Yarrowia lipolytica: one gene and its partners. The protein of the gene in region 3 binds, or shares a complex with, the protein of the main gene of each other region. Links are inferred from orthologs where the notes say so. Each region holds a gene or a part of one and is shown on either strand. Other genes may lie near its edges. The genes, in order: YALI1_D13790g, YALI1_B19567g, YALI1_D07124g and YALI1_E07306g.

Region 1 (4,626 bases), about 670 kb from region 3:
TCTCGGGAGGTGTGGCGGGCTGTGAGGGCGGACCGGGCGTGTTGCGGGGTAACAGCTGGGGTTTTTCTGTGAGATGTGTCGGGGGTTATTAGTGCAAATCCAAGCGCTGATATGAGTGCGGATGTTTTTTCTTTTTCTTTTTTCTTCTCCCCAGCACTTATTTCCGCGCATTTTATGTGGGCACAGAAATTATGATTTGATCGGAGCTCAACATGCATCACTTGATGCCGATAAGAGGGGGAACTAAACATGCTCTGTGGTTGCATGCGGAGCGAGGGTGGCAGGTTTTTGCATGGGCTGCGACCTTTTTGACAGACACCCCGATCTACGTGGCTTTTCCGTGTCAAAAGGGCCTCCCGGGTGCCAATGAGAGCGGAGCGCTAAAACGCGTTCTCCAAGATTTGCACCAGATGTACAGACCCTAATTTGTCATTGTCACCTTACTGTACCTTGTCCCAACCCGTTGCCGTTGCCCTGAATACCATAGGCCCTGGTAGCGTTGGCATGCACAATCTCTGCACACTTGTAGCCAAATTGATGGCACACGTGCTTGGGCACGCACACTAAAAATGTGGCAAAACAGAAGTGAAGCAGTGTGATAATGTGGTGAAACTTTTTGGCTCCACAAAATGACCAGTCGGAAAGACGCAACCGAGAATAATAATGCCGCCTACTTGGATCGTAGTTGTAACAAGAATCAATCTCCGAAAAAAAAGGATCACGAGCCCCCTCTACAGTGTCTTGTACAGTGCACGCTGCTTATTGCACTCTCCAACTGCATGACATCTACCTCAACCATGAGACATCTACAGTATGTACATACGGAAGTATTTAGCATGTGCTATGAAACTACCGGCTTGATGGAGGGGTAATGTCTCACATGGGATAATGTATGTAAGCGGAGCTTGTATCGTACCTTGGACATCTGGGCAATATTGTAGAGAGAAAGTCGTCTTGTGTGATGTTTCATGGCCAGAGTCATTCACCCATACAACTATCTCATACATATATTAGTTAGATATCGGGGTTCGTTTGTTAAAGAGCTAACATGGCCAAGTCTCGACATCATACGACAGGGAGCTGCTTGAAGTCACTTGAAAGATATCAAAGGAAATAATACAACAATGAAAGCTTTCTGGAACATGTGGGATGCCAAAGAATTTCCATTAATTACTCACTGGATGGAATTTATCCGTTGATAGTGACTCCCACTGTCATCATCATCTAGACACCCGCGGATAGACTCAGGTGCCGTTATCAAACGGTATCCACAGTGAAGTTGATGTAATCCGTTGTATGAATTGTTCATTGAATCATCTTAGCTGCTCTAGGGCGAATCAGTAAAGTGATGAGTACATATCATCTGCTACAGGTACTTGTACATTCTGTAGTGTACTGTACGTACTGTTCAATATCAAAATACATTATGTGCAAAGCTGTGGTCACTTGTATGACACGACCAATGAAATCTAATACAGTCGTGCACAAGCATTGTGTATATGTGTAAAGGCTCATCCTTTCTTTCCAGGTGCTTAGAACAAAGCACCATCCTCCTCGTCAGCAGTGGCGTCGAGCGCAGCAACAACCTCGGGAGCGGTGTTGGTAAGCAGAGAGTAGGCCTTCATGATGAGCTTTCGCGAAGTACCCTTCATGTTCAGGTCGATGCCCTGCTCCAGCATGCTCTGTTGCTGGCTAAGCTGCTCGGGAGACACGTTGCCTCCAGCAGATGCAAGATCGATGATTCGTAGAGGAGCGCAGACCTGGCCGTTGCACCAGCCCATGATGAGGCCAAGGTCAGACACAGACTCCTCTTCGTGGGTGGGATCGACGAGAATGTTGTTCCCTACCACTGCCAGAGAAAACACCAGAGGCGGGGTCCACGAAATGGCCTCCGATCCGGAGTTGTTGGCCAGAATCTCGCCTCCACAGAGCGCCAGAGACTCCTCCCAGTCGTCGGAAAATACAGGGACCTCCTCGTGCTCCTCGTCATTGGCTGAGGACACCAGAAGAGGAAGACGTGTGCATTTGAGAGCCAGGAAAATGGCCAGAGACACCAAGTTCAGAGGAAACGAGGTGTGCGACAGCACCAACGCGTCAATATGTAGCTTGAAAGCATAATTGGACCGGGTCAGACGAAGCCGGTTTGTGTCAATGCTGGAAAGAATGAGCGTCTGCAGTACGGCAGACAGCAGCTTGGGCAAGGGACTGTCATCTCTGATATCGTCAATATCCACCTCCACGGCAATCAGTTCGTCCACGGACGAGTTCTTCACCACCTTGGCCTTGACTCCCACAATGCATTCGCCTCCGTCCGACGTTCTTATTCGGGCTGATCCGTTTGTTGCTGGCAAAAAGTTCTGCGCTGCATCCACCGGCCGGAATTGGTTGGGCTCTCGGGCGTCTGGTCGGATCGTGGGCGTGGCCTGGAGCGATTTGCGGAGATAGTCGATTTCTGCTGGCGAGAAGGGCATCGTGTGGATATTATGTGTAGCGTGTGCGGTGTTGTATACGCCTTAAATTTTTTAAGCTGAGGGTGGATGGCGATAGTGGAAAAATAATTGTGCATGAAGGTGGAAGCTTAATTTGGAACTTTCTAAATTTTTTGGTAGTGCTGATTCAAAACGTCATATCACAAAAACCGATGCTGGATCTGCTCAAAAAACTGGATCAGCACACGCTGGGGAAACACGCGGATGAACTCACCGACCGCCTGGTCGGGGCGATCGGTCCCTCCGTGTCGGCTGACCTGGTGAACCAGGCCAAGGACCTCCAGCTGCTGGAAGAGATCTTGACACCCCAGGTGTTCCAGGAAAAGGTGGCCAATGTGGCCGATAAGTGCGCCGAGTCGATTGGTACATGCTCGGAATCAATCACCCTGGTCTCGAGTCAGATCCCTCTGCTCTCCAGGCTGCTCTTTGACCATGCATACAACAACCTGAGATCATATGTGTCCCAACCTCATCTCAACTACCTGGTAAATGCGGATCTGCCTGCTGTGGAGGAGTCGAATTCTGGCGGATCTGTTGACGTTGAGACCGCCGCAGTATCTCTCAAGTTCCTACAATCTCTTCTGCTCAACAACGACCTGGGTAACCCACAGCTGGACTCTCTGCTTCTCCATGTTGTCTGTCTGTCTGACTCTGATCTGGTCCATTCTGCTGCCGTGCTTCTCAAACTGAGAATGACCAATGTAGCTACAAGCGCCCTGGCGTCGTATCTGTGGACCATTGTCTCCGATCTCGTCAACTCGTCCCTGGACGACCACAAGACCGTGGGATACAAGCTGTGGCTGTGGTGGCTGAGTGCATGTGACTCTGCTACCCTCGAGTCCGAGACTTTCCAGTCGCTCTTCAAGACTGACCTTTACTGGGCCTGTCTCCTCAGGCCTCTTAAGACTACCTCCTACGACCACAAGAAGCTGGCCCTGTACATCATCTCAAGATCTGTCCAGCATATTGTCAGCGACATTTCTCTGGAAAGCATGCAGTGGTCCACAACCGACAGAGATGTTCTGCTAGAGCAATGGAAACGTTTTGCTACTCTCACCGAGATCATCGCCATTGACTCTTCCTACAACCAGACGGTGGCCTGTGAGGGAGATATTCTCATGTTCCTCGGGCCAGAATGCAAGCTTGCTCCTCGTTGGGGTATCGCTCTCATTGCCATGGGACTCAATGCTACCATGGACACCGTGCGGAAGTACATGGCCAAGGTTGTTCTTGCTCTGCCAATTGCTTCTCTGGTTGTCTTTCAGCATGACATCCCTTTCTTGGAATCCAAGCTGCTGCCTTATCTTCTCGAAGCTACCCATTTCCAGACTGCTAGACACGACGATCAGAATGTTTGCATCTACGGTGATACTCTGGAGACCTTTATCGAGGGTCTCTACACCACTTTTGACAAGTCTCGAATCGAAGCGCTAACCATCTGCATCTTCAAGCTGCTCAACATTCTGAGAGAAGGATTCGACCCCTCCAAGATCTACGCACTAGCAGGCGTCATGTCTGGACTCAAGGCCACAGAGTTCCAGCTGAGCGACGCAGCATTGGACGCCTTTGCTCCCATGCTGCTGCTCACGTCCGAGACAGGTGTCCGACGAAAACTGCAGAAGCTGTACCTGGCTAGAATTTGCCTCCATTTCGGCCAATCTCTGCGAGTTCTCAAGCTTCTGTCTCAGCTGGTTACCCTCGAGACTATCATGACTGGTCTCAACTTCAAGCTCACTCCAGATGCCGAGCTGCGAAAGTCGATTGAGGATCTGTCCACGTATGCTGTCTACCTGTACGGTTCTTGTGAGACCTGCAATGTTGACGAGGCCGCTGCTCAGCTCAATCTCCTTCCTGTGGGTGTTTCTCTGGGCCTGAAGAACATGGGTCTTACTGGCGTCCCTACAGTCTCAGTTGACGATTCCATCCTCTCATCTATCCAAGCCACCCAGGCACTTGCAAAGTCCAATCTTTCGGAAACTAACACCGATTCCATCGAAATTCGGCTCGAAAAGTTGAAGTTCCCTGACGATATGGATCTGACTGCTGCTCAGCTCACTCTTCTGGCTGCTCTCAACATCAAGAACGGAAAGGGAGACTTTGCCAACACGTTCGAGTACCTCAAGTCTTCGCACATTGT
Region 2 (4,816 bases), on a different chromosome or scaffold from region 3:
GTATACACGCTAACTAAGGAAAAGATCGAGATATTGGGTAATCCTACTTTGTTTAGTCTCTACACGGGCAACTTCTGGGGTCGTTTATTGTCCTATTCTCTTGGAAGGAGACGCTACTTGTTCTTCGTTCAGATCTAAGCACTGTCATCAGCCATACGAGCAGTCTAAGAAACTACTGTAGTTATACTAACGAGGTTGATGAATTCAGTAGACACCGGCGACTATTGAGTCTCATATCTTTTATTACTCGTCCATGTACTTTGATCTCCCTCACAATTTTCTCCCTCAGTTCCACCGAAGGTTGAAGTTGAGCTGCATCCTTGCATAAAGATACAGATCGAGAAATATCCCAACAGGATGATGTACAGTAATGTTCAGTACAAGGACTGGTACAAGTACATGATGTAGTCGGTTATATTACTTCATGAACGTCAGAGCAAGCCTCAAGATCTTCGTTCATCCACTGCCAGTACAGTAGGAGTAGAGGTAACTACTTGCATACATACCTCTCTACATACTGTAGAGGTAGGTATGACCAACCAATGACAAGCACTTAGCCTAAAAAAAGAACACTACAAAAAAATTGCAGCACCTACTGTAGGATTCTCGTATGGTCTCCCACTACAATACTAACTAGGCTCTCTGGTGCTTGACTATGGCTGATCGGACGGGAAGCCGTATTTTCACCAGGATATGGCTGCAACTGGCCGGTAACTCGGCTGCTTAGTCACCGTTGCAAGGTCATTGTGTAACCTTGGGAAATGTAGAATAAAAATAAAAAAACTAGTAATGGATCATAAGAATAAAACAAAAAGCTATACTTGTACCTGAATGACTAGATTATACAGTTATGTGTTCCCTCGATTTTACCAACCATGGATTCATTATATTTCATTTTTATTAGTCTAAAATGTGCTTAAAGCTCATGATCGTAAGGGATACCCTCAGCAGCACCTCGTCGAGTGACAGCAATACCACCAGCCTTGTTTCCGAAAGCAATGGCCTCGGAGACTGTCTTTCCCTGGATAATGCTAGTGGAGAAACCTCCAAGGAAAGTGTCTCCAGCACCAGTAGTATCGACAATCTTCTCGACCTTGTTAGAAGGAACATGTCCAGAATCAGTCTTGGTCTTGTAAATGACACCGTTACCTCCCAGAGTGACAACAACGGCCTCCTTGATTCCCATCTTGAACAGGGTATCCGCAGCTTGGTCAGCTTGTTTCCAGATCTCCTCCTTCGATGCCTCCTCGTTGATTTCGACGCCAGAGATGAGAGTGGCTTCCGTCACATTGACCACGAGGAAATCTATGCTGTTGAGAACGGCGGCGGGGATGTTACCTCGCTCGTCCACAGGACTGGGGTTGTAGACCACTTTGGGCTTCTTAGATCCAGCCTTCTCGATGGCCTTGTAGACGATGTCGATGGGGATCTCGTTCTGGAAGATGAGCATGTCTGTGTCGAAGAGATCGTCAGTGAGATCGGCCTCAGTCCACTCGCCGTTGGCTCCGGCGTAGACCATGATTCGGTTCTCTCCAGAGTCTTGATCCACAAAGATGACAGCCACTCCAGACTTGGTGTCGAGCTCGTGGATGGCAGACACGTCCACGCCAGAATCCTTGAGGTTGTTTTTCAACTGAGTACCGAAGTTGTCTTTGCCGACCTTTCCGTACATCTTGACGTTCACATCAGGGACCTTGGAAGAGAGTCTGGCAGTAGCAAGAGCCTGGTTGGCTCCCTTACCTCCGCAGTGGGTCTCAAAGCCCTGGGAGAACATGGTCTCCCCAGCGTTGGGGAGTCTGTTGGAGATGGTGACAAGATCGTAGTTGAGCGAGCCGACAATTGTGATTTGCATGGTTGGTGATTTGGGGTCAGAAAGAGAGTTGTAGTTAAAGATAGGTGTTTAAATGAAATGTTTTTCCGAGAGTGAGCAAGGACCAAACTCAGGGATGCAGATGAGATGTGAGTGATGGAGGTTTAAAGTCTAAAATAGCACAGAGAGGGAAGAGTGACATCATAGGGTGCGAGCTGGAAAAAAAAATCAGAACATTTGGTTACTTGAGCGTTCTAACGTTGCAATATAAGACAGGTGATTCTATAAGTACATGTTAAGTCACGCCATGCACCCCACATTCTGTACAAGTATGTACATCCGTAACCGGCAGCCCATCGCTGGTCACTCCCAATAGCCGAGGAGTCATGCGATCACGTGGCTGTTTGAACATGAGAGTGACAATGTTGTCGTTCAAGGTATGAAATAGAGATGCCAGATATCCAGACCGGGCCCAAAAAGAACTGTAACAGCTACCGCCCTTGTCTTTATATTTCATAAGTGTCCTTTTTTTGCATAAGAGTCCAACGATGATGGCCCTAGACGTTCAAACTAAAATCCCACAAGTTTCAACTACTTCTTTCAAGGTTACTTGGAAAAGGTATTGTAATAATGGAGATATCTGAGAGCAGATTTCGAGTTTTTTGTTGTTGTTTTTTTTGAATAGACACATTCCAAGCACCCTCGATATTTTTATATTTTTTTGATCTCGGTTCTTCCGTTTCAATGTCAATATTATAACCATCATGTTGTTCAGTATGTACAGTATGTACACCCCTCACCTACACATGACGAGCCACAACTAAGTTTACGTCGAAAATATATTTCGTATCATGCACAACGCCTGAAGAATCTTTAATTTACACTGAACGACACACAACATGACGAATATGGAGCCAATCACATACCCTTCGGAGGTATTTTCGAGACTTGTGCCCGATCTATATCTACACAGACATCTCAACCAAGGATTGCGACCAGCTACAAACCGAGCCTTCACACAACACCGAAAGATCAACCACTTTTTGGGCGGTCTTAAGAAGCCCGTGGGATCCGACGAAAAGTCTGCGTCTCTGGTTTGGGGCTCTTCGTTGATCCAGGCCGATGGAATGAGTATTGTGTGTGGTGTTACCGGATCTGTGTCTGAGGAAGAGGGCGGAATCTTTGTTAACGTCGAGGTTCTGCGAGGAGCAAACGGAAGCAGTGCAGCAATGGGGGGGCCTCCCAGCGACGAGGAGCAGGTGGTGAGCCGAAAGACTACCGATCTGCTCAAAAAGGGCATTTTCTCCTGCAAGGCAAACAAACAATTCTTCGAGCTCCAGAACTTTCTGAAGGAGGGACAGGAAGACGAGGCCGTGTTTGACGCTGGCCAGCACCAGAAGCGATACCTGTGTTTGCATGCCAATGTGACTGTCCTGAGTCGTAACGGACCTGTGCAGGACTACGTATGGGCTGCTGTTCTGGCTGCTCTGAAGGATACAGAGATTCCTCTGATGGAGATTGATGAAGATACCGGACGAATCACTCTCACCCACGACTTTACCACAATTCCGGTCGACGACCTTGACATTCACAGCAGTCGGTCGTTCGGGTTCATCAAACCCAAGCCAGAGACTGATGCCTACGAAGACGACGAGATGGACACCTCTGAAGATGCTGCCAGTGTGCTGTTAGCAGATGTCCAAGGAGAGGTTGAGCAGGCTGCCACTTCCAGCACCCGTGAGGGCTCTCGGCTGCAGATTGTGCGTGGCCGGGAAGACACGCTTATTGGATTTTCTTTTGTGGGCAAGGGTACTGGAGTTGGACTCAACGAGATTAAGAACGCGTTGGATCTGTCGAAGCAAGAGTAGATGGATATAAGCATGTATAGACTAATTGGCGGAACTAATGGTACTATTGTATTGTGCTTGTGCTACATGTAGAAGAAGTCTATAGAATAGCATACGAGTGCAAACACTCGCGGATACAGTACTTGTTTTAGACATGATAAAAATACATTACTGGTGCTATCAATTGAGGTATCCCTTGCAGCCAGGTGCGCCACACAGACAGGGAATCCTCTCTTCTCCAATCTCCTTTTCGAACTTGTAGTCATATGTGAGCTCCTCGTTGGCAGCAATGTCCCGCGAGGCATAGATGACGATACGTTTTTGACCCTCCACCTTGATGATTTTGGCCGTGCAGCTGGGGGTACAGCAATGGTTGATGAACCGAGCAATACCTCCTCGCTTTGTGGCGTCCACGACAGTGCTTTCATCAACTCTGAACAGATATGAAGATCCGATACCTGACCTCATGTACCGAGCTTCTCGCAAGTCGGCAATCTCCTGTCGCACAACTTCTCCGACGTACTCGATGATCATCTCGTTGGCTGCAATGGGCTCAATAGCATAGAGACCCCAGTTGTGGATAGCTGAACGAGCGAACTTGACAGGCTTCTTTCGCTTTCGCAGCTGATTGAAGTTGAGCACATCGGTTTCGGTGGACAGCAGCTGTTTCTGCATGTTGATGTCTGCCACCAGCCTCCGGTTGTTGGCACGGTTAACTCGCGAGTTGGAGGCGTTCTCCTTCTTTTTCTCTCGGTTTTCCATTTGAAGCGTGTCGATGGGGATGTTGAGCTTCTTTCGGTGAGGCAGGTATTCGGATTTGGCAGCCTCAGGGATCTTGAAGTATCCCTGAGACTTCCATGAGCCAGTGGAGTTAACAAACGCGTTGGGAGCAGCCAGTTCGGGGAACTCTGCGTTTTCCTTGGCTACAGCCTCGTTGAGATGTTTATGGGTCCACGTCCATGCTTCTCCGTTGATCTTTTCAGGCTCAATACCCTCCAGGGCCTCCTGGAGCAACTCCATATCTTCGTCGTCCTTAACCAGCGCCTGGAAACCTGATATGGTAGTCAGAGCACCACCCTTTTTGTCGGCTGTTACAGGTTGAGGGAAACCGTGAGCAGGAGCCCAGTCGAGAATCTCGCCGAATGCAGTTGTAAGTTGT
Region 3 (5,003 bases):
TCTGATTTTCCGATGGAGACACAAGGTGGCCAAGGAGTTGGAGGGTGACGTGCTTGAAATGTCTTGCGGCACGGGCCGAAACATCGACTACCTGGACACCCGAAAGGTCAAGTCCATCACGTTTGTGGACTCTTCCCTGCCCATGCTTGAGGTGGCCGAGGAGAAGTTCCGAAAGGCCTTCCCTCGGTTTAAGCGGGTGCAGTTTGTGCAGGGCAAGGCCGAAAGCTGCTACGATCTGGCCAAGGACTCGGGAATGAAGTACGACGTGGTGTTTGAGACTTTTGGACTGTGTTCTCACGAAGACCCCGTCAAGGCTATCACCGAAATGAAGCAGCTGCTCAAGCCTGGAGGAAAGGTGGTGCTGCTGGAGCACGGCAAGTCCGCCTGGGAGTTCATCACCCGATACCTGGACAAGAAGGCCGACGAGCGAGCCAAAATCTGGGGTTGCAGATGGAACCTCGACATCCCTCAGATTGTGCGGGACAGTGGCATGACCGTGGTCAAGAACAAGACTGGTGGTTTCGGAACAAACCACCTGTACATTCTGGAGGTTCCCGAGGAGCCGAAGGTCGAGCCTGTCGTCAAGGTCGAGACCAAGGTTGAGACCAAGCCCGAACAGAAGTAATTGTATATATGTAAATAGTATCAAGGAATATACCTGATCGAGAGACTGTAGGGAAAGAAGGGCGTCAGGTAATGTAGATCGTGTCACATGATACAGCATGTGATCACAATATATCCCGAATGTGCTTACTGCAGTCCGAAGGAGTTTTGGACTACGACAAGTACATGCAATAGATCTCTCTCTCATCTACGAGTGTTTTCTTCGTCAGAAATGTACGTGCCATTGATTTAAAAAAGTACTTTATATCTGTAACTCTCCATGTCCAGAACATAAAACATACAATGCTAATCTTCATCTGTTATAAATACATTTATATCTGGCCCGTGTCCAGTCTTGCATGCAGAGCCACAGCCAGTGCTACTCCCTAGATGAGTCTCCGCTTCACACCCAACACTCAGGCTGTACCTTCAAAGGCATTATGTTCACGCAGCAATAGCCTTGGCAGCAATAATCTCCTTTGCCTCCTTATCAATCAAGTCTCCAGCACTAGGGTACACCAAACTGGCTTCGTAGGCAGCAATGACTCGATCTTCGGTGATACCAACCTCATTAGCAGCCAGAGCCTTGAAACAGTTGGCGTACCGCGCAATGTTCTCTCTGACAGACCGGGGAATGTCCTCGTTCTTGTCACTGTATGTCTCAGTCAAAGAGGCCTCTTCTTCCAGTCGAGTGATACTTGTGGTGTTCTCTCGAGTCAGGTGAGAATTGGCCCAGGCCATACATAGCCAGATCCAGCCATTGACTCCCACCACAGTGTCCACTCCGCCAGGCAGTTGGTGAACATGGCTCTTTGCACGCACAATCAGAGCGCTGGGCACAGTGATGAGAACTCCGTTACGCAGTTTACCGTACCGCAACGAACGGGTATGCAGAGCAGCAGATCCGTCCTGGTACAGCGACTGAACCTCTGTGTTGATGAGATCTCCTTCCTTGAGGAATCCTCGCATCTGCAGCTCGTCGGACTCCTGCTTTCGACGCAAAATACCTCCGGGCAGGTTAACGGAGCCCAGCTGAAGCACAGCCAGCTGCTTGGCGCCAATGTCGACCCGCCATCGCTTCACTCCCACGTCCACAATCCGTCCCACCACGTGGTCTCCGATCTGGGGTTGGTATCGGCCTCGCAGCGGTACCACACTCAGCAGCTTGTTGGTCTTGGTCACCACTCCAGCAGTGGATGAGAAGGTCTTGTTGCCCACCGAGTAGGTACCGTGGCCTCGCATCCAAATGGGGTCCTCTGTAATCAGCTTGCCGGGCGTCACCAGACCCGCAGCCACGTTTGCTGCCTGAGCATTGTCGTCCATATCTTCGTTTTCGTCGTCAGACATGACCATCTGCTCCTCGGCGTCCGAGTCGGCGTCCGAATACACCATTTCCACGTCTTCCTCCTCTCGGGGAGTCGCCTTTTGAATCGTCAAGATGGCCATTGTGTTGCACTTGTGGATGTAATAAGGGTGGTTTGATGGTGGATATGTGCCTGGGATATTTTTCTAAATCAAGGTTTGAGTGTGGCGAAGAGAAGGATATGAAGTGGGTGGAAAAACGGGGTATCGAGTATATTTACGGATTATTTGAAGATTGAATAAGACTCTAAGGAGAAATAATAATATATTTTTAATTTTCCCCGAACTTTTACGACTTATATTGAGCAGTTTTATTTTACCCAACTATTATGTAGACAAAATCGGTTCAAAATTCAGACAAAATCGATTTAAATTTCAGACAAAATCGGTTTAAATTTCAGATAAAATCGGTTTACTTCCAAAAGTGTATAAAATCATTTTTTAAGAGCATATAAAACAATATCACTATGAAAATTGATAGAAAAATCGAACTTGTTCTTTTCTGCAGAGATATATCAAATTCGACTCAGATTTCAATTATTTTCCATGAATTATTTCAACAACTTTTCATACCACATCAAACTAATTACTTAGGTGTATTATTCATTCACAATGCATCAGAACCTAATGCTGGATAAGAAGTTTTCAACATGCACGATTTTTTAGTCCTCTATGAAGTTCAACTTCTGGAAGGGTCTGTGGAAACCGAAATCTCTCACGCCGACTCTCTCACACCGTCTCTACCGCAGAATGTACACACCGCAACCCCCGTTGAACCGCGAAATGACGGTTTTGGACCGGTCCAAGTTCACCGTGTCTCTCAACCTGGCCCTGGCCAAGTTCCCTGATCCGAAATACATTGCGCAGTTCGCCAAGGAGTGCAAGGCCGACATTTTGCAGCTGCGAAGCATTAACCACGTTCAGAAGACGGACGACAATGGCCGGGCCGTTCTTCTGAGACACGATCTGGATCTCGAGGGAGGTGAAGATGTAGCCTCCAAGGTTATGAGCCAGCTGAGTCCCCGAGGAAAGGAGCTGCTGACCGAGGCCCAGGCAGATATTACCAAGATTGTGAAAGATCTCGACTACGACTTTTGGCGAGCCGACGAGATTTTCTACTCCGTGTTGCCAGTCACGGAGAAAGACGAGATTCCCAGTGGATTCTCCATGGTGGGACATGTGGCTCATCTCAACCTGCGGTCTGAATGGAAGGATTACGACCGACTCATTGGCCAGGTGATTCTCGATAAGAACCCCCGAGTCAAGACCGTGGTCAACAAGGTCGATTCTATCGACACGAAGTTCCGAACGTTCAAGATGGACGTTCTGGCCGGTGAAGATAACACCGAGGTGGAGCAGCATGAGAGTGGCTGCCGATTCCAGTTTGATTTCGCAAAGGTGTACTGGAACTCGCGACTGCATACCGAGCACGACCGGCTGGTCAGCCTGTTCAGAGGAGAGGCTTCTTCGCGTGAACGTAAGCAGCAGGAGCGAGCCAAGAGAGAGAACCACGAGAAGAGCACCGAAACCGCTGTCGAGCCCGACAACACACCTGCTACGGCTGTCTGTGACGTCTTTGCAGGCGTGGGTCCCTTTGCCGTTCCCTCAGGACGAACTTCTCTGTTTGTCATGGCTAACGATCTCAACCCTTACTCGTACGAGGCTCTGGAACATAATGTCAAGCTCAACAAGGTCTCCGAGTATGTCAAGTGCTTCAATCTCGACGGCGCAGAGTACGTGCAACAGAGCATGAAGCTGCTGGACGAACACAGAAGGACCCAGCCCACTATTAACCCTGTTCAGGTGCGAAAGCGAAAGGCCGGACAGCCCGTGGTCAAGCAAGACATTCCCAATCACTACAGCCACTACGTCATGAACTTGCCCGACTCGGCCATCGAGTTTCTGTGGTCTTTCAAGGGTCTGTACACGACTGTCGACGGTCTCTCCCAGGACACTCCTCTTCCTCATGTCCATGTTCATTGCTTCCACAAGTGGGAGGCTGGAGAAGAAGAGCCCTCCAAGGAGGAGACCAAGGCTGCTCTTTTGGAGCGGGTGTACAAGCAGATCGACGTGCGACTGGACCCCAACGAGGTTGGAATGCATTGGGTTCGAAAGGTGTCTCCCAAGAAGGACATGTTTTGCATTTCTTTCGAGCTGCCCAAGGAGGTTGCATGGGCCCCTCAGGTTAACAAGGAGTAAATGTATATATATGTATTATAATGGTAATGACGGCGATGAATTTGCAGAAGTACTCAGGACAGTTCTTTCGTGAGTGGGTGATTTTTCTTGATTTTTTCGATTTCTTGATTTTTTCGATTTCTTGATTTTTTCGATTTTCTTGATTTTCCCATTATTCGATTTTCCCCATTATTCGATTTTCCCCATTATTCGATTTTTCATTTTTATGCCGAAATACGAGTATTGTACCACTGGCACCATAAATACAAACCATTCATGACTCCCACAGACCTGGACCAAAGACATCGTACTTGTATCTGAACTCACGACTTCATTATTGCTTGTACCCGTCCTCATACCTCTCCCTCCGCTCCGTCTCCCTCCACCATTACTAAGCAACAAGGGCCAATTGTGTCGGAGCTTTCTGCTGACCAAAACTCTCCCTCTTGCCAACTTCTCCAATCAAAAAGATGATTTTGCAAGATGTCATTGCCAACACTAGCTTTTAGAGTTGGTCTGGAGGGCTACACAACATCCGGTAGCGATGCATCCATGTCCGAAAATTTGTAGTGGATGGCGGTGATATTATTGCGAGAATTTGCCAACCGCAGCTGAATCAGCCAATTGAGGGGTTTTCCGGCTCCACAGCTCTCTGCCACGGCGGAGTTCAACCGACCCCCAAATCTCCGTACTGACATGTACTGTAGGCAGACCCAAAAATAAGCTCTCCCAAGGTCGTAACTCCCAGCCAATGGTAGTGGACCAATTGTGGTGCGTCTGTGTGTAGAAGTGGGTGGGTTTAATCCATCTTTTGAGTATTCAATAGAGTGAACAGACACATTTCTCAGAAGACACGTCTT
Region 4 (4,573 bases), on a different chromosome or scaffold from region 3:
GAGAAACGGGTTCGACAGTTCCAGGGATCCGTTGACAAGGTTATCAACGATACTCTGACTGTGGTCGAGGAGTTCATTGGACTTGCCAAGCCTACTCTCAACGAAGTTGTCAACGACTCCAAGATCCTGTTGCGACAGTACCCTGCCAAACTTACCCTTACTCGAATGCTGGATGTTCCCGAAAACATTGACACTGCCGATTACTCTGTGAAGCTCGTGGGCGGCGAGAAGTGTGCCGATTCCAACCGAATTTCGTACGCCTTTGGAACCCCCATTCATGTCAAGTGGCAGGCTTCTCCCAACAGATCGGCAAAGGACTGGATCGGTCTGTACCGAGTGCACGACAACACTTCCCCTGAGGTGACTTCTCTTCCCTCCAAGGGCCGATGGTCTGGAATCGACGAGACTGGCCATGAGTCGCATCTCGACGGTATTGTGTCGTCTTCTAAGACCAATGGAGAAGTTGTTTTCCGAGGGGACACACTCTTCTGGGAGTGTGGAGTCTACGAGTTCAGATACCACCATGCTGGCAAGCACACTGTGCTCAGCACCTCGGAACCTTTCGAGATTGTGGCTCCTAAGATTGATCTATCTGGAGAGGTGGATGCAAAGACTCTGGCTCTTGAGATCCTCCCCATCGTCCAGCGATGCTTCTCTCTATCTATGGAGTTCCCTCCTGAGGAAGTGGACGACTACTGGGCTCTTGAGGAACCCAAGGTGATCAACAGAGTGCAGGCTGCCGTTCAGGCGTATTTCAACGTTGAGCTGGCGCAGGAGGTGCTTCAATCGGATGAGTCTGTGGAGAATTTGGCTGAGCGACTGCTCAGAATTAGAGACGCCCTTAAAGGTCTTACTGTATAAAGGAGGAGAATGAATATGTATGAATAGATTGAAAATTGTTTGCAGAGAGCATATCTGGAAGAACGTGTGTGTGTGTGTGTGTGTGTGTCAACAAATATCGGATCAAGTGAAGAGCACAAACCAGAGTTGCGAGTGACGTGTAATTCTGGGCCACGGGCTACAGACCTTGACGTAGGGGTCTATAGTAGATAGAATGGTGATGACAGTACATTGATTGACCGCAATTGACACTTACAACTACGTAACATGTAATGTTCAATGCGTTATCTATGTAATATTATGTACCCGTAGTTTGGTTGGTTGTGTTTTAAACGCGACATCAAGCACCCTAGCTGCTGTATGACTCTGTGCACTCCTCCATTCACGTGGTCGGTGAACCATTCTATCGGTGAGGATACTTATGACACCCTCAGTATGTTGTGCCACTAAGTTTTCCACGCATGCTCACAGACTCATTCCAGTCATTCCTTATTGCTCCAACAAAACTCCATGCATGACTCCTCTGATCTCCCGGGCCATCTCCTCGGTCTTGTCGAAAATCTCCTCCATCTGCTTCTCGCTCACGTTACCGCCTTCAATCCACATGCCCACAATCTTCTTGCTTGCTGCCATGTAGGATACTACTCCGTCAATCTCGCTGGTAGGTGCTCTTGAGGGCGACACAGTTGCCTTGTTCTCATCGAGCAGCACACTTCCTGCTGTCACAATATCGGTGCACTCGAGACCGGAATCGGCCAGAGCGGCGCCAGCGCACGAAACTGCGGCAGCCACGGTGGTCTTGGTATTATTGGAAGAAGACAGAACTGATATGCTGACATCGATGGTGGACTTGGGGTACTTCTCGACCAATATGCTGGGCAGGAGAGAGGTGTGGACGTACGATGAAACGTTCTTCTGCAGAGAAGAGCTCTGTGTGGTGCTGGCAGATCGAATGTATTGGGTCAGCTGGGTGGAGCTAACCACAGCACTCTTACTCTCAATATCGCAGAGAGAGACAGGGAGAAATTTTGTGTCCACGTTCAGGATGGCCGATGTTGTGAACAGACCTCTCATAGGTCGAGGACCATGGACAATGGCCACAATTTTGATATCATCCAGCTCCAAGTAGGCCGATCCGTTTGCGTTTTCGACCACTCCGGTCTTGACGAAGATGCTGCCGATATCCAGGCTTTTCTGCTCAACCTCGGTCGGCTTGATGTTGTCCAGGGTGAATGGCACCGCGTCAGCAGGCCCCAAAACTCGTCTTCGGTCAGTCATAGTGTTGTGTGGTTGATAGTGAAACTCACAAATAAATTTCTGCACGATGTTGGTGCAGGCGTGGTTAGCGTTGGGAGCGAAGTTTATTTGGTAGATAGCTAATTACGTAAGCTGCGGGTGACCTGATTTTGATACAGCGTGGTGGTGCTGACTAAAGACTTCTAATACGACAAACATGTAGCAAACGAAGATAGCAAATCAATTGGTAAGCAACTAAAAGGCCCTTATGACTCAACCTTAAACCCAAACCTCCCTTTCTCTATATATAATGTCCTCAATTATTCATTGCTCCACATTATCTCCGTTTACCCTAACCCAACATCAAGGTTGACGACACTTAGTTCCACACGATTCCTTGCCACAGTTCAATCTACACTTACACAACTACCACTTTTGCAATGTCAGACAAGTCAGACAAGATGCAAATCGACAACGCAGGCGAAATTGATGAGTCCCTGTACTCGCGACAGCTCTATGTGCTTGGACACGAGGCCATGAAGAAGATGGCCAACTCCAACGTTCTTATCGTGGGTCTCCAGGGTCTGGGAATTGAGATTGCCAAGAACATTGTTCTGGCTGGAGTCAAGTCGCTGACTCTGTATGACCCCGGCAAGACCGAGGTTGCAGATCTCAGTGCCCAGTTTTTCCTGCGAGAGGACGACGTGGGCAAGCGACGAGACCAGGTGTCTCAGCCTCGACTGGCAGAGCTCAATTCGTACGTTCCTGTGCACGTTTTGGAGGCCAAGGATCTCTCCGAGGAGGAGGTGGCTCGATTCCAGGTGGTTGTGCTGACCAATGCTTCTCTAGAAGAACAGATTCGAGTCAACGAAATCACACACAAGCAGAATATTGGGTTTGTCAGCACAGACACCCGAGGTCTTTTCGGTAACATCTTTGTCGATTTTGGCTCATCTTTTGCTCTGATTGACGCCAACGGAGAGGAGCCCCATTCCGGAATCATTGCCGGTATTGACGAGGAGGGTAACGTTGCTGCTCTCGATGAGACTCGACACAACCTTGAGGATGGAGATTATGTTAAGTTCACTGAGGTCGAGGGTCTCGATATCAACGGTGACACTCCCCGAAAGATCAAGGTCACAGGTCCTTATTCGTTCAATATTGGTTCTGTTGACGGTCTGGGCACCTACAAGAAGGGAGGTCTTTTCACCCAGGTCAAGATGCCCCAGGAGATTTCGTTTGGTTCGCTCAAGGAGCAGCTGGCCAAGCCCGAGTTACTGATTTCCGACTTCGCCAAGATGGAGCGACCCGCACAGCTACATGTCGGCTTCATGGCCGTCCAGGCGTTCCAGCAGAAGCACGGTCGAGCCCCCCGACCTCAGAATACCGAGGACGCCAACGAGGTGCTGCACCTGGCCAAGAGCGTCACTGCAGAGTACCCCGACGTGCTTTCTGGAGGCGAAATCGACGAAAAGCTGCTCACCCAGCTGTCTTTCCAGGCCGCTGGTGAACTGCCCGCCATGACTGCTCTCTTTGGTGGAATGGCTGCCCAGGAGGTACTGAAGGGCTGCTCGGGCAAGTTTGGCCCCATCCGACAGTGGGTCTACTTCGACTCTTTGGAGTCTCTGCCCAAGGACGTGGCTCTAACTGAGCAGTCTGTGGCTCCCACCGGCTCGCGATATGACCGACAGGTTGCCGTCTTTGGTAAGGAGTTCACCGAGAAGATTTTTGCTGTTAAGACTTTCCTGGTTGGCTCTGGAGCCATCGGTTGCGAGATGCTTAAGAACTGGGCTCTCATGGGTCTTGGAAAGGACGGAGAGATCCACGTGACCGATAACGACGTGATTGAGAAGTCCAACCTTAACCGACAGTTTCTGTTCCGACCCAAGGATGTGGGCAAACACAAGTCCGTGACCGCTACCGAGGCTGTGGCAGAGATGAACCCTGATCTCAAGGGCCACTTTGATGCCAAGCTCGACAAGGTCGGTCCCGATACCGAGAACATCTTCGACGACTCGTTCTGGAAGTCTCTGGACTTTGTGACTAACGCTCTGGACAACGTTGACGCCCGAACCTACGTCGATCGACGATGTGTCTTTTTCCAGAAGCCTCTGCTCGAGTCAGGAACCCTGGGAACCAAGGGTAACGTGCAGGTTGTCTACCCCAACCTGACTGAATCGTACTCTTCCTCCCAGGATCCCCCTGAGAAGGGCATTCCCCTCTGTACTCTGCGATCTTTCCCTAATAAGGTTGACCACACGATTGCCTGGGCCAAATCCATCTTCCAGGGCTACTTTACCGACAATGTTGAGTCTGTGAATCTGTTTCTGAGCCAGCCCAATTTTGTGGAGTCCACCCTCAAGCAGACTGGTGACCAGAAGTCTATTCTGGAGAACATCAAGTCGTACCTGGTGGACGAACGACCTACGACTTTCAAGGAGTGTGTCCAGTGGGCCCGTCTGGAGTTTGAGAAGAAGTTCAACGGCGACATTAGTCA

The links.
Region 1: YALI1_D07124g (region 3) and YALI1_D13790g share a complex: the UniProt entries of both Schizosaccharomyces pombe proteins name them as parts of the RNA exosome complex. The link is inferred for Yarrowia lipolytica from reciprocal best matches to the Schizosaccharomyces pombe genes rrp4 and rrp42.
Region 2: YALI1_D07124g (region 3) and YALI1_B19567g share a complex: the UniProt entries of both Schizosaccharomyces pombe proteins name them as parts of the RNA exosome complex. The link is inferred for Yarrowia lipolytica from reciprocal best matches to the Schizosaccharomyces pombe genes rrp4 and rrp43.
Region 4: YALI1_D07124g (region 3) and YALI1_E07306g share a complex: the UniProt entries of both Schizosaccharomyces pombe proteins name them as parts of the RNA exosome complex. The link is inferred for Yarrowia lipolytica from reciprocal best matches to the Schizosaccharomyces pombe genes rrp4 and mtr3.

The regions. Positions count from the first base shown.
Region 1 is NC_090773.1:1,376,906-1,381,531, reverse strand, and holds YALI1_D13790g (uncharacterized protein), read right to left. Parts: upstream 2,472-4,626; coding exon 1,533-2,471; downstream 1-1,532. Other genes in the region: YALI1_D13788g (uncharacterized protein), read left to right, coding at 2,642-4,626. UniProt on the Schizosaccharomyces pombe protein: Non-catalytic component of the RNA exosome complex which has 3'->5' exoribonuclease activity and participates in a multitude of cellular RNA processing and degradation events.
Region 2 is NC_090771.1:1,954,663-1,959,478, reverse strand, and holds YALI1_B19567g (uncharacterized protein), read left to right. Parts: upstream 1-2,709; coding exon 2,710-3,678; downstream 3,679-4,816. Other genes in the region: YALI1_B19576g (uncharacterized protein), read right to left, coding at 917-1,852; YALI1_B19520g (uncharacterized protein), read right to left, coding at 3,838-4,816. UniProt on the Schizosaccharomyces pombe protein: Non-catalytic component of the RNA exosome complex which has 3'->5' exoribonuclease activity and participates in a multitude of cellular RNA processing and degradation events.
Region 3 is NC_090773.1:709,468-714,470, reverse strand, and holds YALI1_D07124g (uncharacterized protein), read right to left. Parts: upstream 2,050-5,003; coding exon 1,048-2,049; downstream 1-1,047. Other genes in the region: YALI1_D07149g (uncharacterized protein), read left to right, coding at 1-625; YALI1_D07118g (uncharacterized protein), read left to right, coding at 2,638-4,164. UniProt on the Schizosaccharomyces pombe protein: Non-catalytic component of the RNA exosome complex which has 3'->5' exoribonuclease activity and participates in a multitude of cellular RNA processing and degradation events.
Region 4 is NC_090774.1:728,205-732,777, reverse strand, and holds YALI1_E07306g (uncharacterized protein), read right to left. Parts: upstream 2,119-4,573; coding exon 1,330-2,118; downstream 1-1,329. Other genes in the region: YALI1_E07347g (uncharacterized protein), read left to right, coding at 1-861; YALI1_E07302g (uncharacterized protein), read left to right, coding at 2,517-4,573. UniProt on the Schizosaccharomyces pombe protein: Non-catalytic component of the RNA exosome complex which has 3'->5' exoribonuclease activity and participates in a multitude of cellular RNA processing and degradation events.